6 separate regions of the Mus musculus genome follow, and all the other regions are reported to be linked to region 1. Evidence: microRNA targets listed by miRTarBase, many of them from high-throughput screens and not tested one by one. Region 1 holds a microRNA gene; each other region holds the end of a gene's coding sequence.

The links. Region 1 holds the annotated microRNA mmu-miR-466c-3p (AUACAUACACGCACACAUAAGA, at 3,711-3,732, shown strand). A microRNA usually pairs through its seed, bases 2 to 8, with sites in the 3' UTR of a target mRNA and lowers its output. Matches are read on the target gene's strand: a 7mer-m8 pairs with bases 2 to 8, a 7mer-A1 pairs with bases 2 to 7 and ends in A, and an 8mer does both.
Region 2: miRTarBase lists Plag1 as a target of mmu-miR-466c-3p. Seed matches in the 3' UTR shown: 7mer-m8 at 2,331-2,337, 7mer-m8 at 2,201-2,207 and 7mer-m8 at 2,051-2,057.
Region 3: the mRNA of Fhdc1 is a reported target of mmu-miR-466c-3p. Seed matches in the 3' UTR shown: 7mer-A1 at 4,268-4,274.
Region 4: the mRNA of Chek1 is a reported target of mmu-miR-466c-3p. Seed matches in the 3' UTR shown: 8mer at 4,281-4,288, 7mer-m8 at 4,006-4,012 and 7mer-m8 at 2,982-2,988.
Region 5: the mRNA of Rgl1 is a reported target of mmu-miR-466c-3p. Seed matches in the 3' UTR shown: 7mer-m8 at 1,175-1,181 and 7mer-A1 at 2,417-2,423.
Region 6: miRTarBase lists Gabra2 as a target of mmu-miR-466c-3p. Seed matches in the 3' UTR shown: 7mer-m8 at 668-674 and 7mer-A1 at 3,290-3,296.

What each region holds. Positions count from the first base shown.
Region 1 is chr2:10,499,905-10,504,982 of GRCm38, forward strand. Mir466b-3 (microRNA 466b-3) reads left to right here and starts at 3,661; the gene lies at 3,661-3,741. All of the region lies in intron 10 of Sfmbt2 (Scm-like with four mbt domains 2), which reads left to right. Mir669a-11 (microRNA 669a-11) reads left to right here and starts at 1,435; the gene lies at 1,435-1,521. It overlaps Mir467a-10 (microRNA 467a-10), which reads left to right and starts at 3,369; the gene lies at 3,369-3,451. It also overlaps Mir669a-12.
Region 2 is chr4:3,899,130-3,904,207 of GRCm38, forward strand. It overlaps Plag1 (pleiomorphic adenoma gene 1), which reads right to left. Exons shown (of 6, transcript NM_019969.3): 6 at 2,029-5,078. The coding sequence ends at 4,561. Among named protein-coding and RNA genes, the nearest start is that of Mos, 30 kb to the left of the region's middle.
Region 3 is chr3:84,439,859-84,444,936 of GRCm38, forward strand. It overlaps Fhdc1 (FH2 domain containing 1), which reads right to left. Exons shown (of 12, transcript NM_001205355.1): 12 at 2,338-5,078. The coding sequence ends at 4,609. Among named protein-coding and RNA genes, the nearest start is that of Fhdc1, 37 kb to the right of the region's middle.
Region 4 is chr9:36,705,865-36,710,942 of GRCm38, forward strand. Chek1 (checkpoint kinase 1) reads right to left here. Exons shown (of 13, transcript NM_007691.5): 13 at 2,618-4,566. The coding sequence ends at 4,471. Among named protein-coding and RNA genes, the nearest start is that of Acrv1, 15 kb to the left of the region's middle.
Region 5 is chr1:152,514,794-152,519,871 of GRCm38, reverse strand. Rgl1 (ral guanine nucleotide dissociation stimulator,-like 1) reads left to right here. Exons shown (of 18, transcript NM_016846.4): 18 at 676-3,110. The coding sequence ends at 863. Among named protein-coding and RNA genes, the nearest start is that of Gm51749, 23 kb to the left of the region's middle.
Region 6 is chr5:70,957,278-70,962,355 of GRCm38, reverse strand. It overlaps Gabra2 (gamma-aminobutyric acid (GABA) A receptor, subunit alpha 2), which reads left to right. Exons shown (of 10, transcript NM_008066.4): 10 at 258-3,964. The coding sequence ends at 554. Among named protein-coding and RNA genes, the nearest start is that of Gabrg1, 120 kb to the right of the region's middle.

The sequences.
Region 1 (5,078 bases):
AGAGTCAGGAGGATGAGTAGTTCAAATTCATGATTAACTTCATGATGAGTTAGAGTTCAATATGCCATTCATGTGATGCCCACCAAGAATGTGCATGTGTTTATTCTTGTGTACATATTCACTTTTGTATATGAATATGCATATACTCACATGCAAACATACTCTCACTAACGGCCAGATCTTTGTCTCAGTTAGGAGGTGAATACTCTTGCCAGCATCATGAGGATGAGCAGTTCAAATTCATTTAAACTTTATGATGAGTTAGAGATCAGTCCAGAATTCATGTGATTTTCCCTGTGTATGTGTGTATGTGTATAGGGAAGTGTGCCTGTACATGTGTGTATATGAACATGCATACACACACACACACACACACACACACACACCGAGGGACACATACATGTGCACACAAACACACATGTCAGTCAGCCATTTGATTTATACGTGCTTAGAGTTTCATTGAGTGTATATTCATGGTATATGGAAACATCCAACTTATCACATGAAAACCGCTTACCAGAGTTAGGAGTCTTCTCGTGTCAAATTCATGCTTAACTTCATGTAGAGTTAGAGATCACCCTGGATTTGCGTCATGGACCCTAGGTGTGTACATGTGCATATAATTGTGTGTGCACGTACATGTGTGTATATGATCATCCCTATAAATACACACACATACAAATGTATTCACACACACACAGGCATGCACACTCACACACATAAGAATGACACTCATTGATCCATTTGAATGATATATGTCTTAGAATTTTGCTGATTATAAAGTAGAGGGACAGTGAATATTCTCTCTCACCAGGTGTAAACAATTGGCAGTGTCAGGAAGATCAGGAGTTCAATTTCATGCTTAACTTCATGAGCAGTTAGAGATCATCCTGGACTAATGTGATGGCCCCTATGTATGTGCCTGTGTGCGTAAGTGCCTGCATGTATATGCGTGTATATTTTATGCATATACATACACACACCTACACACACATGCACACAGACATGCGGGAATGGCCCTCACGGATCCATTTGAATGAAATGTGACCTACTGCTTTGGAGGTTATGTATGACTGGGCCAGGGTGAGGTCTCACAAACCACGGGAAAACCCTTGGTAGAGTCGGGAAGATCAGGAGTGCAAGTTCATGGTAAAGGCATGATGAGTTAGAGTCATCCTGGCATTCATGTGATTGCCCCTATGTATGTGTGTATGTGTTGATGTGTGTGTACATGTACATGTGTGAATATGATATACATATACATACACGCACACATAAGACACATATGAGCACACAGACACATGGGAATGGCACTCATCAATCCATTTGAGTGATAAGTGACTTAGAGTGAAAATGCTTGCTAGAGTTAAGAGTATCAGGAGTTCAAATTCATACTTATCCTCATGAGAGATCAGCCTGTGATTCCACCATGTATGTGCATGTGTGTATAGTTGTGTGTGCATGTTCATGTCTATATTTGAATATACATAACATACACACACACGTATAAACGCAAGCACACATACACAGACACAGGAATGGCATTCGCCAATCCCTTTGAATGATAAGTGATGTAGAGTTTTAGCGATTATGCCATAGGGGACATTGAATGTCCTCACTCACCAGGTGTAAAAGATTGACAAAGTCAGGAGGATAAAGATTGCAAATTCATGCTTAACTTCATTTGGAGACATCTTGGTATTAATGTTATGCAACCCATGTATATGTATGTGTGCTTACTTGTATGTTCATTGTATGTGTTGACATGATATACATAACATAAACACACATGTATATGCAAGCACACACACAGGAAAAAAATTGCATTCATTTATACATTTGAATGATATGTGACTTAAAGTTTTAAATATTATGCAGTAGTGGGACAGTGAATGGTTTTACTCACCAGGTGTGAAAGATTGTGGATCAGGAGTTCTAATTCATGCTTTACTTCATGATGACTTAGAGATATGCCTGGGATTCATGTGATGTCCCCTATGTATCTCTATTCTATCTGTTTTTATTGTGTGTGGATTTGAGTATATGGATGTACCTATCTACACAAATAAGTACATGTACAGAGACACAAACAGAAACACACACACAAACATCAGTGCAACTCATCGATCCATTTGAATGACGTGTGACTTAGAGTTTTAAGATTCCTCAGTACTGAATGGGGAGAGGTCTCACTCAGCAGGTGAAGTCCCTTGACAGAGTCAGGTGGATAAGGAGTTCAAATTCGTGCTGAATTTCATGATGAGTTCATGATCAGCATGGGATTCATCTTATGCCCACCAAAAATGTGCATGTGTGTATAGTTGTGTGCATATTCACTTCTCTATATGAATATGCATATACACGCATGCAAACACATTCATAGGAATGGCCAGAGCTATGTCTCAGTTAGGCGGTGAGTATGCTTGCCAGAGCTAGGAGGATGAGGAGTTCAAATTCATGTTTAACTTCTTGATGTGTTAGTGTTCAGCATGCGATTCATGTGATGCCCACGAAGAATGTGCATGTGTGTATAGTTGTGTACATATTCACTTCTCTACATGAATATGCATATACTCACATGCAAACATACTCACACTAATGGCCAGATCTTTGACTCAGTTAGGAGGTGAATACTCTTGCCAGCATCATGAGGATGAGTAGTTCAAATTCATGTTCATCTTTATGGTGAGTTAGAGATCAGTCCAGAATTCATGTGATTTTTCCCTGTGTATGTGTTTATGTGTAAAAGGAAGTGTGCCTGTACATGCGCGTATATGAGCATGCATATATATATATATATATATATATATATATATATATATATATACACACCCACACAACTAGGGACACATACATGTGCACACATACACACATGGCAGTCATCCATTTGATTTATACGTGCTTATAATTTCATTGAGTGTATATTCATGGTATAGGGAATAATCTCACTTATCAGATGAAAACCACTTGCCAGAGTTAGGAGTCTCAGGAGTTCAAATTCATGCTTAACTTCATAATGAGTTAGAGATCACCCTGTATTTGTGTGATGGATCCTAGGTATGCACAAGTGCATATAATTGTGTGTGCACGTACATGTGTGTATATGATCATACATATAAATACACACACATACAAATGTATTCACACACACAGGCGTGCACACTCACACACATAAGAATGACACTCATTGATCCATTTGAATGATATATGTCTTAGAATTTTGCTGATTATAAAGTAGAGGGACAGTGAAGGTCTCACTCACCAGGTGTAAATAATTGGCAGTGTCAGGAGGATCAGGAGTTCAATTTCATGCTTAACTTCATGAGCAGTTAGAGATCATCCTGGAATAATGTGATGGCCCCTATGTATGTGCCCGTGTGCGTAAGTGCCTGCATGTATATGCGTGTATATTTTATGCATATACATACACACACCTACACACACATGCACACAGACATGCGGAAATGGCCTTCACGGATCCATTTGAATGATATGTGACCTACTGCTTTGGAGGTTATGTATGACTGGGCCAGGGTGAGGTCTCACAAACCACGGGAAAACCCTTGGTAGAGTCGGGAAGATCAGGAGTGCAAGTTCATAGTAAAGGCATGATGAGTTAGAGGTCATCCTGGCATTCATGTGATTGCCCCTGTGTATGTGTATATGTGTTGATGTGTGTGTACATGTACATGTGTGAATATGATATACAAATACATACACGCACACATAAGACACATATGAGCACACAGACACATGGGAATGGCACTCATCAATCCATTTGAGTGATAAGTGACTTAGAGTGAAAATGCTTGCTAGAGTTAAGAGTATCAGGAGTTCAAATTCATACTTATCCTCATGAGAGATCAGCCTGTGATTCCTCCATGTATGTGCATGTGTGTATAGTTGTGTGTGCATGTTCATGTCTATATTTGAATATACATAACATACACACACACGTATAAACGCAAGCACACATACACAGATACAGGAATGGCATTCGCCAATCCCTTTGAATGATAAGTGATGTAGAGTTTTAGCGATTATGCAATAGGGGACATTGAATGTCCTCACTCACCAGGTGTAAAAGATTGACAAAGTCAGGAGGATAAAGATTGCAAATTCATGCTTAATTCAGTTAGAGATCATCCTGGTATTCATGTGATGCCTCCCATGAATGTGCATGTGTGTTTACTTGTATGTGCATTATCTCTGTTGACATGCTATATATAACATAAACACACGTGTATATGCAAGCACACACACACACAGGAAAAAATTGCATTCATTTATACGTTTGAATGATGTGTGACTTAAAGTTTTCAAGATTATGCAGTAGTGGGACAGTGAATGGTTTTACTCACCAGGTGTGAAAGATTGTGGATCAGGAGTTCTAATTCATGCTTTACTTCATGATGACTTAGAGATATGCCTGGGATTCATGTGATGCCCCCTATGTATCTCTATCTGTATCTGTTTCTATTGTGTGTGGATTTGAGTATATGGATGTACCTATCTACACAAATATATACATGTACACAGACACAAACAGAAACACACACACAAACATCAGTGCAACTCATCGATCCATTTGAATGATATGTGATTTAGAGTTTTAAGATTCCTCAGTACTGAATGGGGAGAGGTCTCACTCAGCAGGTGAAATCCCTTGACAGTGTCAGTTGGATCAGGAGTTCAAATTCGTGCTGAATTTCATGATGAGTTCATGATTAGCATGGGATTCATCTTATGCCCACCAAAAATGTGCAAGTGTGTATAGTTGTGTGCATATTCACTTCTGTATATGAATATGCATATACACGCATGCACACACATTCATAGGAATGGCCAGAGCTATGTCTCAGTTAGGAGGTGAGCACTCTTGCCAGAGTCAGGAGGATGACGAGTTCAAATTCATGTTTAACTCACATTGAGTTAGAGATCAGCATGCGATTCGTGTGATGTCCTCCAAATATGTGCATGTGAGTATAGTTGTGTGCATATTCACTTTTATACATGAATATGCATATATACTCATGCACATACACGAATGTCACTCATATATTTTTTTGAATGTTATG
Region 2 (5,078 bases), not on the chromosome of region 1:
TAAATTCAAAGGGCTGTTAGTAACTCACAGCATGTTCTTCACTCCACACCCTATGTCAAGCCCACTTTCCATTCTGAGTTACAGTCACTTTGTGGACAAAAGCTGGGTTTGTTCTGGTAACATTTGCACATCCAAGATCTCCTTTTGCAAGCGCACATGAATACACTGTGGTGGTGTAAAAGTTTGCTAATGACAATTTAAAGTCACAGTATAAAAATATATTGTACACCTTTACACCTATATATAGTCCTTTTCCTATGAATAAAAAATACAACTGAATGAGACAGAAGTTTGTAGCACCATGAAGAGTTGTATCCCAAGTGACAGTAGCAGCATGATCCCATATAATGTTGAAGGAGGATTTCTGAGAAGACAGACATTCATTCTGGTTCATCTGTACCACTGAAGCTTATGTAATGAAATGTCTTATACATCAGTAACAATTCCTCGCCATCTTTAGAGATCGATAACTCATCAAAAGACACTGCCTTCCATCCCCAGGGGCTGCTAACATTGTAGAAAGGCTTATTGGTGATCTGTGTCTGCTACGAAGACATTATCTTGCATAATCTCAAAGGAGTGCTCTGTGAGTACAACACAATTTAGGTATTTATGTAGGTCTACAAAAATCGAGCTACATTGTATTGTAGACCTGGCTGCTGACAGCATGAATAAAATGAGACAAACTCACCAAGAAACTCATTTGTCAGAAAAAAACAGTCTGCCTTCATTAAGGGTGAATACTCAACATTGAAAAGATCTCCTTCAATGTCACAAGGATCTCAGTAGGCTAGAAGCAACTTGGGTGAACTGGTATTTTTAAACTTACTTATGGACTGGGAAGACAGTGTGCTTTGAGATACGTAAACCTTGTAAAAAAATAACCCATTGTAAAACCTTATGAAAAGACACACACTGATTCTGTGCAATATAGCAAATCGGTAAGAAAACACTGTAAAAATGTACCTGTTTAAAATATCATCTACCATTTTTTTGTACACAAAGTATTATATATCAAAGGCCTACATATATATCATCTAATGGCACTTGAAATGAATATAATAAGTCTTAAAAATAAAAGGCGTAACATAGAGGAAAGTTTCTGTAGAAATTTAGGTTCATTTTGAAAGTGCTATATCTTGTAGTATGTGAAGTATAGAGGTTGACCAAGCTCTATTTTTTAATTGGCCTATATGTGTACTGCTCACTAGATGAATGATCCTGAAATATGTACTCTATAACATTCATTATTAGCTTAATAAAGCAATCAGCTCTGGCTCATGGTTCAGTCAGTATATGGTTTTAAAAAACCGCCACTGTCCAAATTAACACACTATATCACTATATTCCACAAATGACTAGAAAAATAAAGCACAAGCAACAAATAGGCAAAAAACCACACAGCTTTAAAGAAATGCTGATTGAAATTAAAAAAAGCTGCACACAGACGGGTGCAAGACCCACCAAGGCAACTTAAATTATAGAAAACTGAACAAGTAATAGGGTTTTAAATGAAAGCTTATGAGACAATAACTACAAAGGTGATATTGGTAAATATCAATGGATTATATTGCTTAGAGTGCCAGGCCTTTCCGCACTCACGCTCCCGCAGATGCATGCCGTTTGCATGCACATGTGGAAGTCAAACTGAATGGGGCTCAGCATCTCGCCTGAGGTCCAAATGCCACAATAAACTGTATCAGTTAATGTTAATCCCTTTTCTTTCAGCCATGCTAAGGCACTATCAGAAATTCCAAGGACCATGGAGAATGAAAAGGGTATTGGCAAGGCCTATCGCTAAGCAGTCCTACTTCAAATAAAACAAGTGACAGAATTTTCTACGGGAGGAGTGGAGCCAATTCTGTGTTACGTCCTTGTTAAAATATTGTGCAATTAAAAAAGCTGCCTGATTTTTAATAGAAAATCTATCAAAAAAGGGTTTAGTGACCACTGTAGTCAATAAAACAAAAACAAAAAACAAATTTGCTTCTTTCCCTCTTACTTTGAAGTGTTATTCAAGTCTGCGGGGGCAGCAACAGGCAAAGAGGTGTACATACAAGAAAATTAAGACTCTACATTTTAACACTGGTTCCCTGGAAGATGTGTACTAGAGTTCCGTGCAGGGTAAGAGTTAGGATAAAAATATATTTGTTATATATATATATATACACACACACATATACACACATATATATACATATACATACACATATATATGTGTATATATATATATATATATATATACACACACACATATATGGCGCCATTCCCATTTCAAAATGCTTTATTTCATATATCCTGGTACTCCCTTTTTTCAATTAGCAGTGAAATACATACAGCCTATGAAGGCCAACGTCTCAGGTCATTAATGTGACTTCTTAAGCAAATTTTAGATAGAATAAACTAGTGCTTTCATATGTGGTGCTTGTGAACTCTACATAAAAATAGGTTTTTTTATTTACTTGTGCTCTGTCACCAAATGTCCCCTCCTTTTTAAGTGGTGATTAAAGCAATATTGAACACTAACCATCCAACTAGAACATTAGGTAAGTGATCTGTTTCATAGAAACTAAGGAAGCGGTCATGAAGCAGAGCTAAGAGCCCACTTTCAGAGTGAGTGCACTCCCACTCATAGCTTAGGAGCAGCTTGAAGAGTTAAACATGTATTTCCTTATTAACATATATAATTTTAATGCCTTTGGAAAACTTTTTAATAAAATGTATTTTTCACAATAAAATTTAAATACATAAGTATAAAAACTACTGCTCTAGGGTTAGAACCAGGAGCTTGAACCCTCTAGAGAGCAACTCTGATTCTACGAAGTGCACTAGGTGTGTGTATGACATAGAGTGAAAGCCCCATTCAAATGACAGTTTACACTTCTCCTCAATTTAGACTATTCCCAGGCATTGTAAATAATGCATTATCGTCAGTAATCTGTAATTACATTTAGGATGATGGGTAAACAATGCAATATGCAGTGATAACTGGCCCTTACAGAAGGGAAAGAGTTTCCCCATACAGGGCTAATGAGTGCTCAGAAATTAAAATATAGTTTCTTCTTCTTCTTTCTTTTAAAAAAGAGATACATAGCCTTCTATAAACCTCCCTTCACCCCTGCCCCAACAGAAGGGGTCCCAAAATAAGGTGTTAACAAGTGCTTAATAGATACATTTCATAAGTTGATGCCACAAATAACCCTTAGGAAGATATACATGGAACCATCGATCGCATTCCTGGTGGCTGTCTGACAAGAGGAAGTCCATCGCTACCTCACTCAGTGCATTCCACATCCTAGGTGCACTCATATGCGTTTGGTGTTTGCTTTATTTTCCTCTGTTTCCACTATAGATTCAACTTGTTTCTAACATTCCTCCTGATTCCCAGAGTAAAAGTAGGGTCTTACAACTTCTGGTTGTGTAAAACTGTAGAACTCCTCAAGTTGCTTTCTGATGGGTCTAATTGTTAAGTTCTCCATCCAAAAACAGCAGGGCAAGATGGATACGCACTGAGCAAGAGCTCACCGGGCAAGACTGCTTTAGAAGTGATGTGATAGGCTTTTACTCTGCACCCAAGGAGTTCAGTTTTCAGCTCTGGCAACAGTGGAATTCTCTGGACAAGTTCTGGGGTTTGGCTGTTTTACATCCATCTTCCTGTTGAGGAGTCTATCACCCCGACGATTGAGGCAGCCCAGCCATTGTAGGTTTCACATATTTACTGTCTATTGTCCCACAATGGCTCTAAGACTCTGGAATAACTGTGGTCCACCATGCAAAATGAGAACGCTGGTATACTGAAGCCATCCTGGGGTATGAAAGGTGACAGGCATATAACAAAACCTTTCTACACTGATCCTGATGACTTCGATGCCACACACTGTTTATGGAAAGATGATTGAAATGCGGCAAACCAGCCTGAGGGCTAGTACTAACACACAACACCCTGCTACCTCTCTAGGTTTCTTTTAGATAGATACTGAAACTTAAAATATTTTAGCCAGACAATAGCAGTCCTCAAAATATATTGATCTGAAATGATGGTATATTTAAGAAACCACTATACTCTCCCCAAACTGGATTCTTAACTCATTTAAAACACACTTAATTATGAATCCATTTAGTGGCTAGTAAAAAAATGTGAAACACTTCAGTTATTCACACAACACACTTCATAAGATTTACACTGTACTGAATATTTGCAAAAAAAAAAAAAGTCCAATGCCCATTGCTATTAGACAAAAATGAAAAATTTAAGATCTAACAGTAATTTGAACATAGGACTTGTAAAATTTAGTGATAATAATGGCGCTCCTATATGAAATTAAACTCTGAGACTATGACAACTGGCAGGAAATCAGGAGAAATAGCAAACGTAGTTAAACACGAACGATTTCAAAGCTTATCGAAGAGGCTAGTTCCTATTATTTACTGGCTTCATAAAACCTGATATTATACAAAAGCAGAAGTTTTTGTATTATGTTAAAAGTAGGCACTAGAATATAAATGGTCATTGCAGGCAGGGCTACACAAGCACCTCGGGTGAGTCCCTCGGCCCAGACTCTACTGAAACGCCTGGTGGAAACGGGGCAAGGTAGTGCTTGAGCTCAGGCTGCTGGTGAACGCTGCCGACAGTGAGTGCAGAGAACTTAGACCCACAGTGTTTGCAGGGTCCTGAAGATCCTGTGTTTGTGTGGGCAGCTGAGAGACAGAAGAGTGTGCTTCCTCCTGGGAATAGCTCATCCCAAGGCTTCCCACTGAAAGTGGGTTATAAGGGGGACCATTCAATGGTATGAAATTGAACAACTGAGAGAAATCCAATGCTGGTGTGCTGAGGGGGTCACTGATAGAGATAGAGCTCTTTGACAGGGAGAGGTCCCCAGCACCATCATCTGGCGACCCACTCTGAGGCTCTAACCCTAGCTTAGATGACGATGCTGGAGAATCCTGGGATGAAGATGGTGCACCACCTTGTAGCTCCATCAGGTAACTCTCAATTTCCCCCTTTAATGGCTGTTCTTTTTCAGGAATAGAGATTGCGTATGAGGTAGAACTGAATGGGCATTTGAAAGCAAGATGAT
Region 3 (5,078 bases), not on the chromosome of region 1:
TGCCTTTGCATTTGTCCGGAGGGGCTGACTTTGAGTGGAGAAGTTAGATCACTGGTTACTTGTTCCCTCAGGTCACATGCCTTAGCCTCAACTGCTGTTAGGAAATAGGGCGAAAATGCTCTTGATGCCCCTGACACGTGCTCCTGACATGGAATGCTGCACTTTGCTCTAGAAATGCTGCTATAAGTGGAGTTCCTTTTTTGTGACAATATCATAGCCACAGCCCTCTTACAGATGGTGTCATAGTCCATGCAGGTTGCCATAACAAATTCCCACACACCAAGAAAAGTTACCCCAAAATAGGGAATTGATTTCCCATCGTTCTAGAGGCTACAAAGTCCAAGGTCAAAACAGGAGATGCTGCTTCCTGGTTCGTGACGGTGCCTTCTCACTGGGTCCCCTCATGGTGGAAGGCTCTTTTGTAAGTGCACTAACCCTATTCTCAAAAGTTCTACCCTCACACTAAGCATTTCCCAGAGGCCCCAGCTCCTAATACCACCTCCAACTTGGCTTTAGCCTCCATCAGATGGAGTGTGTGGAGGCAGACGGCTGATGCAAGCATTCGGACTGTATATATAGCAGAGTTTCTGTGAAAACTACTTCTGGGGTGAGCTATGATTACTGAGGGAAGCGCAGTCCCAATTCCTCAACTAAAACCCAGATAAACTTCAAGAACAGCATCTGCCTTGCAGGTTGAACACTGTCTGCATGATGTGATCCTTGGAAGAGCCTGAGGCTGCCAGAGGCAAAGCCTAGGAGCAGATTCCAAGCTCCCATGAATCCAACATTGGGGACTTCAGACTTCCTCATTGCAAGGTCTTTCACCTTCACCCCACAAGATGGTGGCCACAAATGCCAGGCTCCTTGATGTCACAGCCATGGGTCCATGTATGGACAGACTGGCTTCGAAGGGCAGAATGAACTTTGGGCACAGTCAGCTTTCAAACAGAAACTCAAAAGCTCTGAACTGGAAGACAAAAAAGCCATTGTTGGCTACTCTCATCTTCACTGAGGCAGCTGAGTGAGGCTTGGCATATGCTAACTGGAAAATGGAGATGGAGAAGCCCCCAGGAAAAGCTACTCGGGGTTATGTGCTCAGTTGTGCCATGTAGCCAGTCTGACCTACACATTCTTATCCCGTGGATGCCAAGTACGGTGTCTGCAGAGCCTCTAGTCCACATTATTTTAAGAAACACTTGCTGAATGACTGGAAGCACGTCCCTTACTAAAATTTTATTATGTTTAGTACTTATGTTTATGAACACTTACAGGAAAAAGGAAGGGGAGGAAGGAGAAAAGAAGGAGGAGGAGGAAGAGGAGGGAGAGGGGGAGGGGAAGAGGAGGAGGAAAAGAAAGAAGAAGAAGAAAAAGAAGAAAAGAAGAAGAAGAAGAAGAAGAAGAAGAAGAAGAAGAAGAAGAAGAAGAAGAAGAAGAAGAAGAAGAAGAAGAAGAAGAAGAAGAAGAAGAAAGAGGAGGGGGAAGGGGGAGGGGGAGGGGGGAAGGGGGAGGGGGAGGAACCAAAACAAAAACTCATAGTTTCAAGCAGGAATTGAACACAAGTAAAAGCATAAAAGACTAAGAATAATGTTTAATAGCAAATTTTCTAAGTTTACAAAATGGAGTCCTTGCCAGAGGGGCAGACCCAGGGCAAGGACACTGCACCTTTGAAAGCAGGTGAATTTGTACACTGCAGAACAGGCACTAATAGTTCTACTGAAGTACTCCAGGATTTCTCACCTGAACACATGGCTGTTCGGAGTCTTGGATGTGGATGCTTGGGGACTTTCCTCTAGGCTGCTCTCAGACAGAGCAGCTAGGACTATGATGTGATGCGAGCCTGAGGTATGAGGTGCCACCCACCTACCCACAATGCTCTCATTTTCAAATATGCACCCACTGCGCATTTCAAGTTCAACACCTCCCTCCCTCTGCTCATTCCTGAACCAGACACAGACATAATCTGCGATTTCTCAGTGAGTGTCCCAATTCAAAGAGGACACATGGGGACAGATCTGGACTTGCCGGGCCCCATGGAGATCACTCAAAGCCTGGCTGTACCTGGAACAAGAGCTCCAAGGAGCATCAAGTGTTCCGGCAATGGCTTGTGAGATAAACCTGCATCCCTACAGGCCTGCAGCAAAGCCCACTCCCGAGCCCTTGGTCCTGTGTGTGTTGTATGGAACCAATGCCAATAGAAATTTATTCTGACTCTCGAACCTTTGGAGGACAAGTTTTCCATACCCTCCCCCTTTCTTCCCACACCTCACCTTCTTTCAGGGAAAGAGATTAAAGACTCTCCTGGCAGGACAACTAAGACACATGTGCAAAGGCATAGCATAGGTATAACTCCTACAAACAACTTTATTAAGACTACCTGTTCCATAAAGTACGTAGAAAAGGACCTTAAAATGCATTCAGCGCATCCTCAACAAACGCATGTAGAAAGGCATTGACATTCCTCTGTTGCATAGATGATTCTCCCAAACTTACAGTGTATAAAAGGTAGTAAGAGACTGCCCACCTGCCCACCCACGTGTGCACAGGGCCGGCGACACCACTGCTTTCCCAAGCACGCAGCCAATGTGATCTGACAGCACCATACCAACAGGCTTCTCCGGAGGCTCCCCAGCCTCTGCTGAGGGTCCTAGAAGCCACGTCAGAAACAGACACAGGGTGACTGGGTAGCTCGATTCCTGGAAACCATCATGAAGGGCTGGACTCACTTCTATGGGCTGGGAGACAGACACTTAGGGAGAGTAGACGCTTGTACCGAACGAAAGCGGTGTTGGAATACGGCACAGGATGGGTCCCTGGGCCCTCCCACGGGGCTACTCAATTCACCATCCACAAACCTGTCAGCACGTGTCGTCTCTCATCCGTTCCCACCCACCCACAGGCCTTCTGGTTCTGGAGGGTTCCAGAGGGGGACAGATTGCTGAGGGCTTCCTAGCTGCCCAGACATCGCTGCTCAGGGCTGTTTTTAACAAGAGGTGGTGACTGCAGCCTATCTCTGCCACTGTACTGTTCAACTGCTGCAGCTCAGGGACAGCAGCTCAGTTCCCAGGCAAAGATGGAGAGGCTTCCCGAAAGGAGAGACCATAGCAGCCTCCGCAGTCACCTCACAGTGTGACACGCTGACCTAGCCCACCCAGTCACCAGTGTCTGATCTAAAGTGAGATTTCACTAAGAAGTGACTCAGAAAGAAGGGGGCAGGGCTTTTATTTCAAGCTTCCCCCCCCACTTTCTTCTCTATTTCCTGGGTTTAATAGAGAAGTAGTAAAAAGAGCATTGGGTAAGAACTTCTGTTTGCACGATGCCTATCTCCTGCACAGATTTCCCCAGTGTTAAGATTCCTGAAGTCAGAAGTCAGTGTTTCTTGGGGGGTAAGAGTCTATTTAAAATAAACAACCATGACTGGGCTTCTCTCAGTTGGACTTGAGAAGCGCTGTACCAAGGAAGACAGGCTGACACCAAGCAGTATCCCTAGGCTGGGCCTGGTGCCTTGTACCTGTTATCCTAGCACTCAGAAGCTGAGGCAGAGGATTGCAAGTAAGAGGCCAGCCTAGACTAGGTCTCACAATGTCTCTAAAAGCAAAATCAAATAGAATAGCAGGTGGGGGTGGGGTACTGAGGCCCCAGAAGAGAAGGAAGCCTGACCCACAAAAAGGGTCATTTCCCTCTCCACCCGGAGCTAACAGAAGCGAGTGGCCACCATTGCACACATGGGAAGGACCTACTCAGCTGGGCAGCCCTTGCTGTCTTCTACACCAAGCACCCTATCCAGCACCCTACACAGTTGCTCCTATCTTCAGGGAAAACTTCCCTATAGCCATGGGCTCCCCGCCATGGGCCTCACACCCTTGGGGCCCCCTTAAACTCACAGTAACATCAGATTTTTACCCATACAAATCTGACGTCCCTCCTATTCACATGAAATCCTCACCCAGAGTCATTTGAGGAGAACCCACACATTAGCTAGCCAGAAAGTTCTCAAGGAGACAGCCTCAACCGTACAACCACCCAAGAGCTTGTGAGAGGCCACCCCTGGCTAGGTATGGTGTGTGTTCTCCCACATACACGCTGATGGAACCCCGAGGCAGGGGGTGGGGATGAAGGTACAAACAGTTTCATATTAAGGATAATCCCCCCATTCCTGGGAGGCATTTCACTCTGAAAAAGGAACTAAAACATCTTTTTTATTTTTATAATATTAAAAAATAAGTCTTTGATATATAAAAACTGGCCAGAATTTTTTTTTTTTTACTTGTTACATAAGAATTGTCATCTTACATGTCCAGACTATTATTGGATCTTTGTCTCGGGGCAGGAGTTAGGGATAGGGTCCTGAGTATGAGTGACAGGAGGTGCCAGCCCCTGACAAAGTACTGTGCAGAATAAGGATACTCTCAGCTTTGATTTCGAAGCAGAAGTCTGCACAGCAGGCTATAGCTCTCCTTGTACCTTTAGTGACGTGACCTTTAAGCAGGTGGCACCAGTGTGTTGCTCGATGTGTAACAAGATGTTTAAGACTGGCCTCTGTGTCCTCCCCCCGCAGCAGCCAGTCCCAGCAGCTAACATCCCACAAGGCAGAAATGCAGACAGGCGTCATCATTTCTGCAGGGGACGGAGGATCCTCCCGAGGGTGGCCTGCCCCGAGTCCTTCAGTCTGAGAGAGGATCTTTCCGTCGTCCCTCTGCCCTTCAGTGAGGTTTCTACATTGGCACTTGAACCCCCAGCAGATTCAGGACACTTCTTGGAGGCCCGAGCACTGCTGGCCCTCTTCAAAGTGCCAATGTCCTTGGAGGCAGAATCCTCGGAGCCACCTTTGACCCTAAGCTGCCGCTGGGAGACTGTCCTGGTGAGGCCAGTGGTTCTGGCCGCGGGTGGAGCATCCGTTCGCAGGCTCCGAGATGACGAGGCCACCGTATTTCGAGCAAAACTTGGGATGGGGGGAAGGGCTCGAGAGACACCCGTAGCCTGAGGAGCCTTGGGCTCTTCCTTGGGACTCTCGGGGTCAGGAGAGTTGGGGCTGCTGACCTTGTTTTCTTCAGGTTTCTGCCTGGGGATGTTTCTGAGGG
Region 4 (5,078 bases), not on the chromosome of region 1:
GAAGACACTAACCCTTCACATCAGCTTGATCCCAAGGCTCAAAACATACCTTGCTGTTATGATGTGCGCAAAGCAAGTTTAAGAGTTGTGTTTGTTTTTCAAGGAAAAACTATTTTTAAGGACTTATTTTTTGTTTTTGTTTTTTGTAAAAATATGTCTAGGTATGTATGGATGTACAAGTGGCCAGAATCCAGAAGAGTGTTTTGGATCCCATGGAGCTATTTATAGGTGAGCTGTGAGCTGCCCAGTGTGGGTGCTGGGGGTTTGCATGCTCTGTGAGAGCAGCCAGAGTTCTGAACCACCGAGCCCTATCTCCAGGCCTCAAGTGCCAAGCTTTCAACAAAACGATTGGAAGACATGCAAAGAAAGAAAACTGTACTGAACACTCCCCACAGAAACACTTTAAATGGAGGGTCTCAAGTGTGTTCAGAGAACAACAGGTTTTGATGTGAGAGCAATCAGGAAACCAATATGTAAACAAGCAGTGTTGGTGCTGGAGAATTTAACAGCAGGTTTAAACCAAGAATCCGCAACTCTGATTTCGGTTCAACCATACAGCACTGTCAGATGTTTTAGCACTGACACACATTCCTACCACGGATTATCACCAACTCCGAAGGCTTAAAATTGAATAAGGAGGAAGGGAAGCCTGACATAAGCAATTTAAGTTGGGACTTAAACAACACTATCACACAGTCAGTACTACCTCACAAGTGACTAAGGGATGGACAGAGACTAGTTGACTGAAATGCTTCCAAATCAGAAGACAGGCATGGATCTGCAAACACAGGGAATACAATGAGCTCTCAGGATGGTTAAGACTGAGACATACATACTGTCACAACACTATCAAAAACTAAAGGTGAAAAAGGACTCTTGAAGGCATCAAAGCAATTCACTGAAGAGAAAGGATCCTAAATATGATTATCAGTTAGCTGGGTGCAGTAGTACACATTGGTAACCCTGTCATTGGGAAGCTGAGGCAGAAGAGTTGCAGGTTTAATGTAGGCCTGGTCTATCAGTGAGGCCCAGGTTACCCTGGGCTACTTAGTGCCACTGTCTCATAAAAACAGTTAATTTCTCAGCAGAACCTTTGTAGGCCCAAAGGCAGTGAGGTGATATATACATTAATGAAAGGAAAAAAAAAATGTCCAAACACTATCAACTAAAAATTCAGTGTCTGGTGAAACAGAATTATCCCATAGAAATAAAGGCAAAATTAAGATTCACAGACAGTGGGCTAAAGGAACTGATTATAACTACTACTGCTATGTAAGAAATGATTAAGATTGCTAAAGTGGAAATTTCTAAGTTTCTTCGGAAAGTCAGTTATGACAAATGATTTTTTGCTGGGGCACACAGATAAAAGAATATCTCGCTAAAGCAGGCATGTGAAAGAATGTTTTCATGAAGCAGACACAGGTGAAAGGACACATGATGAAGGAGTATAAATATGATCCCGCACACAATGAGAGCAAGAGCGTTGGTTTGGCTTGCTCTGCCTAGCTACTCTTCACTAATGACACACATGTATTAGTTGGCCCTACATATTGTTGTTGAGCTCCACTTGTGGTAATGCTGCCATTGGAAGAGGCTCACCAAAGAACTGCTCTAATTCTTGCTGCTTCCATAGCCTCGGACCAGTTGGCAAGCCTTGTGGTTTCCTCAGGACTGAACTACAGATTGTTATCTGCCTGCCAAGAGGACCGGACGGTAGTTGCTGATTTCTGTTTGGTGTTTGCTATGGGACTGAACGGGGGACAAAGAAGATCAAGCTCACCCCTAAAGGGCTAAAAATTATTGCTAAACAGGTCTACTTCCCCCATCTCTAATAACTTTTCTTTTCTGCTACCTCTAGCAGGTGGTGGGCAAGAAGAGAGGTTGAACCCTTATTACAATAGGCTGCAAAAAAATTGTGCCTACAGATTGCCCTTGAACTTTAGATGAAAAGATGCTAGAGAGCAGTAAAAAACCACAATACAAATACCTCTGAAAAGGCATAACTAAAAATCCCAGCTTAAGGATCTGGCTCAGTGGGGCTGGTGAGATGGTTCAGTGGTTAAGAGCACCGACTGCTCTTCCAAAGGTCCTGAGTTCAAATCCCAGCAACCACATGGTGGCTCACAACCATCCGTAACAAAAATCTAATGCCCTCTTCTGGAGTGTCTGAAGATAGCTACAGTGTACACACATATAATAAATAAATTAATTTTTAAAAAAAAAGAATTGTCAAACTTGCTTTAAAAAAAAAAAAGGATCTGGCTCAGTAAAAGTGTTTGCAAGACTTGAATGTGATCCTAGATTGGATCCCCAGCAACAACAAATATAAGAACAATTATGTAAAACCCAAGGATGGAGAAGATGTAGATGAGCTGTCACGCCATCTGTAATCCCAGCACTTAGGAGGTAGAGGCAGAAAGATGAGGAATTTAAAGCTATCCACTCATGGATAGCAAGTTAAAGGCCAGCCTAGACTACATGAAAACTTGATTCAAAATAAAAAAATAAATAAAACCCATATTTACTGTAGTGTGCGTACAACATTTAAAGATATAGCTTTTGGTGTTAATAAAATTACACAGGAAAGACAACATAGCTGTAAATATAGCTGTCCTGTCAAAGTCAAGTTGGGCCAGGCATGCTATGTAATCACAGTATTTGGGAGACAGAGTCAGGAAAAAAAGAAACAGCCTGGGCTGGACAATGAGTTCACAGGCCAAAGGCCAGTCTGATCTACACAGTGAGGTCCTGTTTCAAAAAACAGTTGTTACAAATTTTAAATAAATTGTTGTATTTTATAAGCGGAAAAAAATAAACAACACACAATTATCATATGACATAGCAATTCTACCTCAGGGTCTATACACAAAAAATTAAAAACATACTTGAGCAGGTACTTATATATTCATGTTCACACCAGTATCAATTACATGGACAAAAGGTGGCAACAATCCAAATATGCATGATCATATGAAAGAGTATACATACACACACACACACACACACACACACACACACACACGCACAGACATACATAATATGGAGTATTAGTCACCAAAAGGAATGAAACCTGATATGTTATAACATAGATAAATCCTGAAAAGAGTTGTTATGAAGTAACCCAAACACTAAGAGGCAAATATACAATTCTACTTATATGAAGTACAAGAATATTCAAAATCATGGAGACCAAAGCAATATAGTTGAGTAGGTGCCAAGTAATGGCGGAAAGCAATCATGACTTGAGAGATACAGGCTCGGAAGACAGTACTGCATACCATCAGATGAAGAAGACAATGACATAAAACAGTACAGCGCAGATGGGACTTGGGGTTCGAATAAGTAACGTTTTTAACAAGATGGCTGACTTTTACCACAGTGGGACTACAAGTGGGAAACAGGAGACTGAATAGAGTTAGGTTCAAGTTAACTTTTGGGGATGGGAGAGTTAAGTGGGTGACAACAGCATATACCAACATGAAATAAACTTGAGCCATAAAATTTTAAATGTTCTCAGCTTTCAGACTAACTAATGTTGGAATTTATCTATGAAAAGGAATACAGGACCCCAATCATATATTCATATTTTAATATAAATTTTATGAACAAAACAAAGTTTAAGTGAGTGTACAAGGTGAGGAACAAGGATCCGGTCAACTCCTGCATTTCCTTACTCCCGCCCCTTTTCAGTCAGTGTCATCTAGAAACTTGGTGGCTGGCCAATAAGTTCAGAGTTAGATATTGATTTTGAAAATAGTTTATTTCTAGAGTAATTAAAATATGGCTGTGAATCTAGAAAAAATTGTTTAAGTGTGTAATTTTTAGAGTAATGTCACTTAAGCACTAGAGTTTATGTTCAACTTTGTGAAAATCCAACCAAATTAGTCTTTATATTTGACAAGCTACGCCAGGAGGAAAATTTGCAATTTAAAACACTTTAACTCAAAAAAGTTTTATAATTGGTCAAGCCCTTGTGCAGCACATATACCCAAACTGAAAATACAGTACATACATTAACATACACATTTTTGTGGCTGGCCTCATTCATGAACCAATCAACTGTATATGGTCTGTGTTTATTCATCCTTACAATTAAATAGGCAGAGAAGAAAATATTTTGCTTGGGATGAAACAAGCTTTTGATTTTTCAAAAGTGATACTACTACATGGGTATAAAAGCTGGCAAACTCAAGTATCCCATAACTTGGTTTCAAATCCAGACAATTTAAAGACAGCTGGAGAAATACCTAATGAATTTGATCCATCCTTTCCCCAAAGCATTACATACAATTAAAATACAGTAGTATTTGTATGCCAAACACTACAAATCGGAAGATGTTTGGGTAATGGGAAGAGAACTCTTCAACAACTATTGTTTGCAGTTTGCAGAATAGGATAATCTTCTCTAGGAAGAAAAATGTCACATAGCAGCACTCTATTCACCAGGAATGTGCAGAGCTGACAGCTTCCTCATGTAACAGGAAACCAAACCTTCTGGCTGCTCACAACATCGCTGAGCTTCCCTTTAATCTTCAGGAAGTGTCTCTTGAACTCTAATCCATCACCCTATTTTAGGAAAAATATTTTAAAAATATAAAAAAGATTGTATCAAAAAAGCACATTCTCATTCCTGACCAAAGAAACAAACACCCTTAACTATGTCCAGTTCTTCTTGCCTCCTCCTCTCGGTTCTTTTCTGAGAATACTGGATTGCAGGTATGCACCAACATTCCAGCTTAGTTATGCATTCCATATAAATCTGACTTGTTTGAACAGGATTTTATAACAATTTATGGGTTTTACTAGAGAAGAAACCTTTAACTATATCAAAAATCTAGAAAAGAATTATTTCAACCAGTCTCCCACATACAGAACATGAATTACTCTTCAACCCTTTCTAGAACCACACATGAACTATCAGAAAACAGACATTATATTGATTTTAATACAGAATAGACTTTTAAACTAAAAATAATAGGGGAGCAAAATGGTATTAATCACAAAATCTGTGAAGTTCACTATATTATAATGTACAAGTTTTTAATGTCATAACTTTTATTAAAAAAAAATAGTAGGTC
Region 5 (5,078 bases), not on the chromosome of region 1:
CCATTTTATTCTATGGTTTTCAAAACAGAATAAAACAACTTTTCATTGACAGAATTTATTACTTCACTGGTAATAACAACCCTTGTTTATAAACTATGAGTGTTCAGGTGGGCATCACTGGATTTGAATATGACTTAAAAATTAGTGGCATGCATTGTCTTATGTGGATGTGGTTTAGTGTTGAAAGGCAAATGCTGGACAAAACGGTGACTCAAAAAGAATAAATGACCAGATTGATTTGGAATTATGTCAAAAGTACCTTAATTTAATCCAAGTAAAGATGCCTGACAATTGCTGTAGGTCTTGTACACGTGCTTGGACACCCTTAGGCTGTGGGAGTACAGCAGGCTAGCAGGGGTTCTCATTCCAGCTCTGTGGTCCTGGGACCGTCCTGTATTTGGTGTCCCTACCCCTGTACCTTCTTCAAGTTCTAACGTTCTGTATTTGAGCAGTACGCTCATGGGAGGAATTCTGACACCTTGTGCTCAGTTTCAGATAGGGAGTAAGTTTTTTGGGACCAATTATGAGGAAGTATCCACATTGCTTGGTCTAGGTTATAGGCAAGAAACAGAGACTCTACCCAGGCCTTGTGCCTGGGCAGAATTGGCTTCTGCCAGTCAGGGATGGGTTCCCCCAACCCCCACTGACCAGCTGCTGTTTCCTTCTCTTTCCTAGAACTAGTGATCCCGGACTCTGCAAACGTCTTTTACGCCATGAATAGCCAAGTGAACTTTGATTTCATTTTACGCAAAAAGAACTCGGTGGAGGAGCAGGTGAAGTTGCGCAGTCGGACCAGCCTGACTTTGCCCAGGACAGCTAAGCGGGGCTGCTGGAGTAACAGGCACAGCAAGATCACCCTCTGAAAGGGACAGTACACTCCTACTGCCCAAGGCAGAGTGAGGCTGAGCAAAAGCCATGGCGACGCCAACCACCACCCAGTGTTGAGCATCATTGGTGAAAGCGACAGATATTTATAGAATTCAGCTGTGCAGAGAGCACTGTGCAGGGGAGAGTGGAAGTGAATTTGACATTAAAAGGATAAAAGGTTCACTGATGCTCTTAGATCTGAGAGTGAATACAAAATAGTCCATATTTTAAAATATATATACACACGCATATCGTGTGTGTATGCGTGTGTTTGTGTGTGTGTGTGTGTGTGTGTGTGTGTGTGTGTGTATGTAGATATACCAGAGGGACTATACAGGATATTCTGGACTATGGAAAAACCAATTTGCACAATGGCCTGGGAAGTTGAGGTCACTTTTTACAGGGAAACAGAAGGGACCAAGAACCTGGTCTCATACTTCCAAGTAAATAGAATTAGAACTACCAATGCGGAGTGTTCTTCATGCCAGTATTACAAGCCCAGGCTCTTATTTTTGTAAAGGGAGAGAATTCCTTTCTCAGTCATGTGCCACCAGATGACCAAACAGCAGAGATTGACATGGCCATAGGCTGCATGAAAGGCCACCATGGAAAGGTTCGGATGGGTCAGTGGTCTCTGCCCCCTGCTGGAGTCTGCTGGAGCATCTGAGGCCTGTGTGCCTTGCTGGTCCCCGTCACAATGCCCCTGGGGTCAACACAAGCTTGTTTCAATTCCTGGAAACCCTGTTGTGTTTCTGCATTCTCTCCTGAGGAACGCACCACAATCATTACCACACAGGTAGCCTCGGTCTTCCATAACTTTTCAGCCAGAGAAGAAAGCGCAGAAGCACAGCAACTCCTCTGGACTCTCCTCTGTCTTGGACCACTCCACCACCCTCTGATTGCCTTTGCATGTAGCAGTGTACATCCGGTCGTTTGCCATCTTTAGCTGTGGGCCTCTGTCTTATGAGCAGTTCTTCCTCAGGTGTAGACATTTCTGCTGCAGTCAACTCCATGCAATCATTTCAAGCCTGTGAAAGATTTCTGAGCAGCAACCCCCCCCCCCCCCCCCCGTCAACCCCTCAGAAACTGTCTCCCACTGACTAACCGCGGCTCCTGTTTCCTTCTTTACTTTAGTAGCATTCCTGTGTTCAGGTCACAGGGAGAGAAAGGAGACTGCGACTGCCGTCTCTGTCCTTTCTCACAGCAGTGCACCCTTATAGAAGGGAAGAGTCGCGCTCTTCTTTCTCACCTCTCACTTACTCTCCTGGTGGCGCTGGTAAGTGATGGGTTTTGTCTGTAATAACAGTTTCATTCTGTGCTTCCGATCTGCGCTATGCTGGGATCTGAATGGAAAAGCCATACATGAAGGAGCTGACATGTATAAGAAGCACTTTCAAATTATTGTTCCTTTTTAATTTTTTTCTCCAAATACCAGTTTTTATTCCAAAAATAAAGAGAATGAACCCAGAATACGATATCCAGATTGTAACAGGGACTTTTTTTTTCTAACCCTATACTTTAGCTCTCAAAGGTTATGTAGGGTTTGTGTTATGTAAATAGCCATACGAACTCAACAAGAAACACCAGGAAAAGCTCAGAGATTTGTGGCAGTGGACCAAAGAGAGAGCCAGGAAGTCATCAGATTCCCTTGTCTTGTACATTCTGACACCAGATGTACCCTGCTGTTTCTAGGAGACTGGACTGGAAGACCAGTTAGCTTTCGACTAATCATCCGAAGGCACTCTCTTCTTTTGTTTGTGAGCCTTTTTTGGTTAATGTTTCTGTGTGTGGTAGGGAGATGGTAAGGATTACAGCCATCAGGAAGACTGAGGTAACCCTAGCCTCAGCCTGGCTTTCTCAGTGTCAAGGTCAAAAAGTCAGTGCAGAGCTATTGGCCTGGTTTAGGGTGTGGCACACAAGACATACATGTTATGACCATGTGCTCACCCTGTGTAATTATACTGTATATGTAGAGCCTAGATTTATATACTGCAATGTAAAATATATATATATATATATTTACCTTTTTAAAAAAAAGACAATGGAAATCCCAAGTGGGTAAAACATGGCCTCATTTATTTAATGCCACTTCAGTTGTTTTAATTTTGCTTCCAGGTAAACAGCTGGACTTTGTTTCCAGCTGCTCGCACGCTTGTCTTTCCGCATCTACAGCATCTGTTTACCTTTTGGTTAAACTAATAAACTGGTTTGGGACTTGGTTGGCATGTGCTGCCAGACCCAAAGGGCTTGTATTTGGAGTGTTAATCGGGTGGGTTCCGGGCTCCAGGTTTGCCAGCATTCAGAGGCCTTCTCTGAATCAGCTGGACAGAGCAGAGGGACAGCAAGTGGCAGAGGGTTGTGTCTGCTGGCAAGGATTGTGAGCTCAGAGGGGAGAGGCACATCCTCGGGACAGACCAGTGATGCCTGCCTTGCTCGGTTGCCTTTCCTTGGAGCCATGCAGTTCGGCTGCCTTTTGTGTGAACCTGGGGTGAGACTCCCTGAGAGCCTCTCTCGAGCACAGTGTGGCACTGTCTGGACAGATACGATGCTCTCCAAGCAGGGAAAACCTCTCTGGAAGTTCTCAGAAGGCGTCCCTTCTCAGCTGACTTCACACAACACACAGTCGCATAATTTTCATCTTGTTATCCATACTTATTTTCCAACAGATTGCTAAAAATGACTCAAGTAGGTGTTTTGAAAGGGAATTGATCATGTGGCCTAACCTCTGAGACTATGTGACTAATTTTCAAAACCATCCTAGAAAATGAGCCCCTCTCCCTATATATGTAGAAACTGATCTTGGAGCCTTTTTGCCTGAAGTCCTGATTACCCTCTCTGAACCACTTTCAGGTTCACCCAGTGTAGACCACAGGGGGCTGCTGTGCTGTACAGTGCTCTGACCTCAGCAGCACTGAGGGCTCTCCTGATGCGACGGGAAGTGTTTATTCGGCTATCCCAGACCAGACTGGAGTAACCAAAACATCCTAGTACCTTAAACCACAGATTTCCTTTTACAGCTAAGGGAGCACGGTGGAAGCCAGGCAGGTCCCATAACCAGTGACCCGGGACCCAGCTATGTCCTGCCTTACAGCTCTATCTGCTTGATTTTCTTCCCTTTCAAGTTACAGTGACAAAGGCTTTTAGCCTTAACTGTCCTGACTGGCGTCGACCGAAGTAACGTGTAGCGCTTCATGGTCCTGTCACTATGTAGCTTGGGCCATGTAGTCTCTGTGCAGGGAAGGCAAGACACAAGTCCCTGAATGTCCCACGCCCCCCAGAGACAGTGTTTAGAGTAGATGGTGAGGACCTCAGAAGGGGTTGCATACAGCAAAGGAGAAGCTGAAGACAAGAGATGTTAACAGGAAGAGAAAATATCAAAAACTGATTTAAATTTGTCTAAGATGCAGAAAAATTCAACAGGAGCCAGTATTTTAGATCATAGTTCGCCAGTTACTATTGGGTATGGGCCCCCATTACCCCTATTCAGAAACCTGGAACCTGTGAGGAAGTATTCTGTCTTACTTAGCAGTTTGGGTAGTCTAATTTAAATCCTACCCACTCTTCTTTCTTTACCTTCTCCCTCTTCCCTCGCCCCTTTGAGAGGGGTATCAACATGAAGGACTTCACTGTGAAGCCAAGTCTGGCCTATCTGGGAGAGCCAGACCTAGACCGTCCCAGACTCTTGTCCTCTCTGCTCAGTGACTGGCCCCAGCCCTTTATCACAACTCCCCATGAGGAAGCGTCATGCCCCTCCATCACTAATGAGCAGAACCTATGCTGCATCATAGGTCCAGGCCTGTGCCCAAGTGAGTGCTAGGACATCATCTCACACAAGAGATGACTGAAGCGCTTTCTGAAGTGCTTTCATGGCTTCTTCCGAAAAATCAAGGTGCCGGATTTGAAATGGAAGCAATCCTAAATGATAGTTTTCTCTCAGACATCCATGATCCTCATTTATATGACAGCAGACAGCCAAGCCTTCAACAGACTCTTATCTGAGAATGTACACTACGGTATGTCTATTTGATAACTTTTTGAATAATTAGTATATCAGATATATCAGAGAGAGGGAGAGAGAGAGCTAGAGCTATCAGACATTTTGTTGGGGCTGTAGTTTGCAGTTTGTGTTGTGCGGGGGGGGGGGGGGGGGGGGGAGAGCGCAGATCGGACTGCTGGGAAGACAGGCTCCCTGGTCGCTTACTACCTTAGGC
Region 6 (5,078 bases), not on the chromosome of region 1:
TCTAGTGTTCATCTTCTATGTAAAAAACAGCAATTAGTTTTCTATTAAAACAGCGCCGGTATTGTTCTCTGTAAGTTTCTTCACTTGGGGTTTTTAGAATTTACTGAACTTATTTTGCTTACTTCCTTAATTTTTCTCGCCTACTACTAATGATGCATGTTTGAGTAATAATTTCTTCTAGAATTTGAACTGTATTTTGGAAATTTTTAAGATGCAGCCTAAACCCACATTGTGTCAACTTTTGTATTTTCCATTAGAAAAAAGAGAAAGGCTCCGTCATGATACAGAACAACGCCTATGCGGTAGCTGTTGCCAACTATGCCCCGAATCTTTCCAAAGATCCTGTCCTCTCTACCATTTCCAAAAGTGCAACGACGCCAGAACCGAACAAGAAGCCAGAGAACAAGCCAGCTGAAGCCAAGAAAACCTTCAACAGTGTCAGCAAAATCGACAGGATGTCTAGAATAGTGTTCCCAGTTCTGTTTGGTACTTTTAATTTAGTTTATTGGGCTACCTATTTAAACAGGGAGCCTGTATTAGGGGTCAGTCCATGAAACTAGACTTGGTTACTTTTGGGCTGTATAGCAATGTTATACTTGGTTTTGGTTTTGGTTTTTGCTTTGTACAGTCTGACTAATAACTGCTAATTTATGACCCACTATGTATAGTATGTATATATATATAATGGTAGAGCTTACAGTAGACCTCTAAAGGAGACCTGCATTTGCTAACTCATGGAAATACAGGCAGAAAACATCCCGTGCCAAAAGAGCCATTGCCTTTTTAACACATTTACCTAGGAACTAGTTTAAAGTGGGTTTCAGATCCCATTATTTATTTCTTAATGTTCTAATTATAATGAAAGTCGGGATCCCATGTCACACTTTGGGAAACCTTTGATTTAGATATTACATAGAAAAATATTTCTACTGTTGCCTAAGGATGATCAGAGATTAATATTGCCACTCAAATATATGAAACAGCCAAACCTCTGGCCTGGTTGCTTTAGGAGTGTTTAGAACCCCTGCTAGTGTCATTGGAAGCTTGACACACACAAGGAGAAAGCTAGAGATGTGAAACCAGTGTTTAATTACTATGTAGCATATCTATAGCCATGTACATATTACAAGCATGACAAGCTCAAATAACTATGAGTCACCATGAAAGGATGTTAATTACATTTAAATTTAATAACTATTGGAATGTCACAGTCATTCTATTTTTAGCTTCAGAGTTTATTTGAAAGTAGTAATGAACCTTTCAGCTCACTTCAATCATTGGAAACTACCTAAAATTTAGAAGAAGAAGGAGAAGAAGAAGAAGGAGGAGGAAGAGGAGGAGGAGGAGGAGGAGGATAAGAAGAAGAAGAAGAAGGAGGAGGAGGAGAAGAAGGAGGAGAAGGAGGAGAAGGAGGAGAAGGAGGAGAAGGAGGAGAGGGAGAAGAAGAAGAAGAAGAAGAAGAAGAAGAAGAAGAAGAAGAAGAAGAAGAAGAAGAAGAAGAAGAAGAAGAAGAAGAAGAAGAAGAAGAAGAAGAAGAAGAAGAAGAAGAAAAGAAGATGATGATGATGATGATATATGGACTTTCCAGGTATGTGTTGTCAGCTGAACTTTTCTGGTGCTGGAGAAAGGAAGAAAGCTGCCATCTTGGCTGAAATGGAGTGCAGTGAAGTTCACTTATATCAGATTAGAAAGCTGTGCCAAAAACTCCAAGAATGAGAATTCATAGGTGTCCCAGGTACAGAGGAGCACTTATACGATTCTCTTCTTTCCTGTTTACTGCAAATTCTGCCTTAAGGCTTCTCATCAGGGCTCAGAAGCCGCTAATTTTAAAGGAAAGGGCAGTTAGTTGGCACATTTTTCTGTCTGGAAAGCAGCTTTTTTTTTTTTTTCAGACAAGAATTAACGTAAATCTGCTTTTGTAAATTGGAACTTTCAATTTCATTGACTCGAATTTACAGCAGCTTTGTATACCAGAAGAGGTTTTGGTAAGAGTTGAACATTTTTAAACAATGACTTTAGGACACTATCAAAAGATTGTAGATTATGTCACACACACACACACACACACACACACACACACACACACACACACACACACACACACACACACACCTCACATAGCTAAATTAGAAAACATGGTTTTCAATTTTATAAAATTACTGATTGTTAATGGGTAAAAATTCATTTTTCTTTTAATATATGAAATATTATTTATGCCCCTGAAATATGCCCCTGAAATAAGCTAAAGTTAACTGTGTTTCTGTCAAAACTAAATTTACTTATGACCGATGTGTACATTAGCAGTTATTAGTTGACTTTTAAAATAAAACGCAACCTCACGATGATGTTTTTGTAGAAATTAAGTAGTCAAATCGTGGCGTTTCTTGCAGTTTTGTACAGTATTTGAGTAGAGTGCAAACCAGGTCTGTTCACAACATCAATAAAAGGAGCACCTTCTGGAAACAAACTCTCAGCAAAAAAACAAAAACAAAAACAAAAACAAAAAAAAAAAACAAAAACAACAACAACCAAAAAAAAAAAAAAAAAAAAAAAAAAAACCTCGCTGTTCTTTGCCTCATTCAGCTGCCCCGTTTTCTATTCAAGTATGATTTCACTGTGTGTTTTTGCATGATTTGTACTCATACCAGGGTCACAGCTTCATCCTACTAACAGAATTCGCTCTGAAGACAACCTTGACCTTAAAACCTTCCTCACGAAAATCAAAAGTAATCCATCAACCTTAATAAAAGTATTACACGAGCCAATAAATGTATTTTGTTAATTCCCTTTCAGTAACATCTTTATTATCCAAACGAGTTTTAGAGTGTGAATATTGCCCATCTAGTGAAATAAAATATACCCTGGTTTCTTAAACAAATCTGTACAACAAAGGCTCTTGTGAATAGGCTCAGGATGGGTACAGAAGTGTGAAGTGGTGTGACATTTGAAGGCAAATGGTAAGCTGCTCTCCATTGTGAATGTTGCCCAGACGTTAAGAACAGTTTAGGGTGGCAGAGAGAGCTCAGAGGATAACAGCACATATTTCTCTTGCAGAGGGCGTGATTTCAAGTTCCCAGCACCCACATAGTAGTTCACAATTACCTGTGATATGTGCTGTAGGAGCTCTGACACTCTCTGTAGGACTCCTTAGATCGCATTACACGTGTGTTCACATACCCCATGACCCAACTAATTGAGAAAAGAAAATACATCTTTAAAATGAGTAGCTATACTTCTGTCCCACCCTTTGAGTGTCTCATTATAGCTTACATTATTATAAATATGTACATATGTAAAAATGGTTCTAAATAGTTTTGACAGTTAGACAGAAAAGATCCATTTGTATCTTCAACAAAGTGCTGGGGTTATGTTGATGGCAGTACTTTTCAAGGTTTTTATTGATTTTTGTTTTTTTTATGGCAGACAGAGTAGAAAATTAACATTACTGTTTTCATTAATTGAAATAACATAGCTGAAAATTTTCAATTCAGTCATGAGAATAATATATGAATTTAATGACATTATGATAAGTTAGACGTCCCAATTGTGTCTTTCAGAATTTCCTATTGGGTCTTGGACTCTGGCATATTTTTATATATTATTATAAAAAACATCTGTCATATAACAGACACAGACTCCAAGCAAACATATAATTATTTTATTATAAATGCCTAATTCATATAAAGATGTCAATTAAGTTAATACTGAAAATTTATGACCTACAGACCTACTAAAAGGGGCTGTGCTTCTTTTTCTCCTACTTTCAATAACAATAAATACAGCAAAAGAGGTGAACAGAAAATATCCATTCTTTTTACTTGACAATCCTAATTTTCCAAGATATTTTCAGAGATGTATTACAAATTCAAACACATCTGGATAAGTAAACTCTTCAATAATATTTCTAAAAATGCCCTTCTATAGTTTACAATTTATTTAAAATAAACAAAACATTATTTCACTCACATTTTCTTTGGGTATTATTTTTTATCATGTCTCTGGCTGTCTGTCTATATTTCTGTCTGTCTAACATCAATCTATTATTTATCTATCTTCTATCTATCTATCTATCTATCTATCTATCTATCTATCTATCTATCTATCTATCTATCTATGTAGCTACCTACCTACCAACCTACCTTGACACACCAAGTCATCATGAGGCTAGAAGTATTATTTCCCACTGAGGCCAGACAAGGGAGCCAAGCTAGAAGAACATATCCTACATATATAGGCAATGGGTTTTCGGATATCCCCCACTCCAGTTGTTTGAGAACCACATGAAAACCAAGCTGCATATCTGCTACATATGGACCAGAAGGCATAGGTACAGCCTGTGTATGTTATTTGATTGTCAATTCTCTCTCCTCAAGGGTCCAGGTTGGTTGACTCTGATGTTTTCTTGTGGAGTTCCTATCCCCTTTGGGGCTTACAATCCTTCCTCCTATCCTTCCATGAGTCCCCAAGCTCCACCCACTGTTTGGCTGTTGGTGTCTGCATCAGCTGCTGGGTAGAACTTCTCCAAAGCTCTGTGGATATTTTGTATTTTGGGATGGCCTGTCATCCTTCTATTGAGAAAAGTAGGAGGCCACGCCTACCCTTCTGCCACATGATGTTGCCTCAGCATCTACAAAGGACTTGTTCTGTGTGCTTCATACCCTTAGACACTGACTTGTGAACAGAAATATTTCTGAGTTAACTGAAATCTTGAGATGGAAAACTCATATATGGATACCTGTGATTAAAATTTAAACATTTCAATATCCTATCCCATATTTTTGAGGAACTTAATAGATACATATTCATTTGAAATGATTCAAAATTTCAAGGGAACCATTAAAAAAATTGCTAATTGTATCTTATATCTCAGGTATACTAAGTTTCTGGGCTAATATCCACTTATCAGTGAGTACATATCATTTGAGTTCTTTTGTGATTGTGTTACCTCACTCAGGATGATGCCCTCCAGGTCCATCCATTTGCCTAGGAATTTCATAAATTCATTCTTTTTAATAGCTGAGTAGTACTCCATTGTGTAAATGTACCACATTTTTTGTATCCATTCCTCTGTTGAGGGG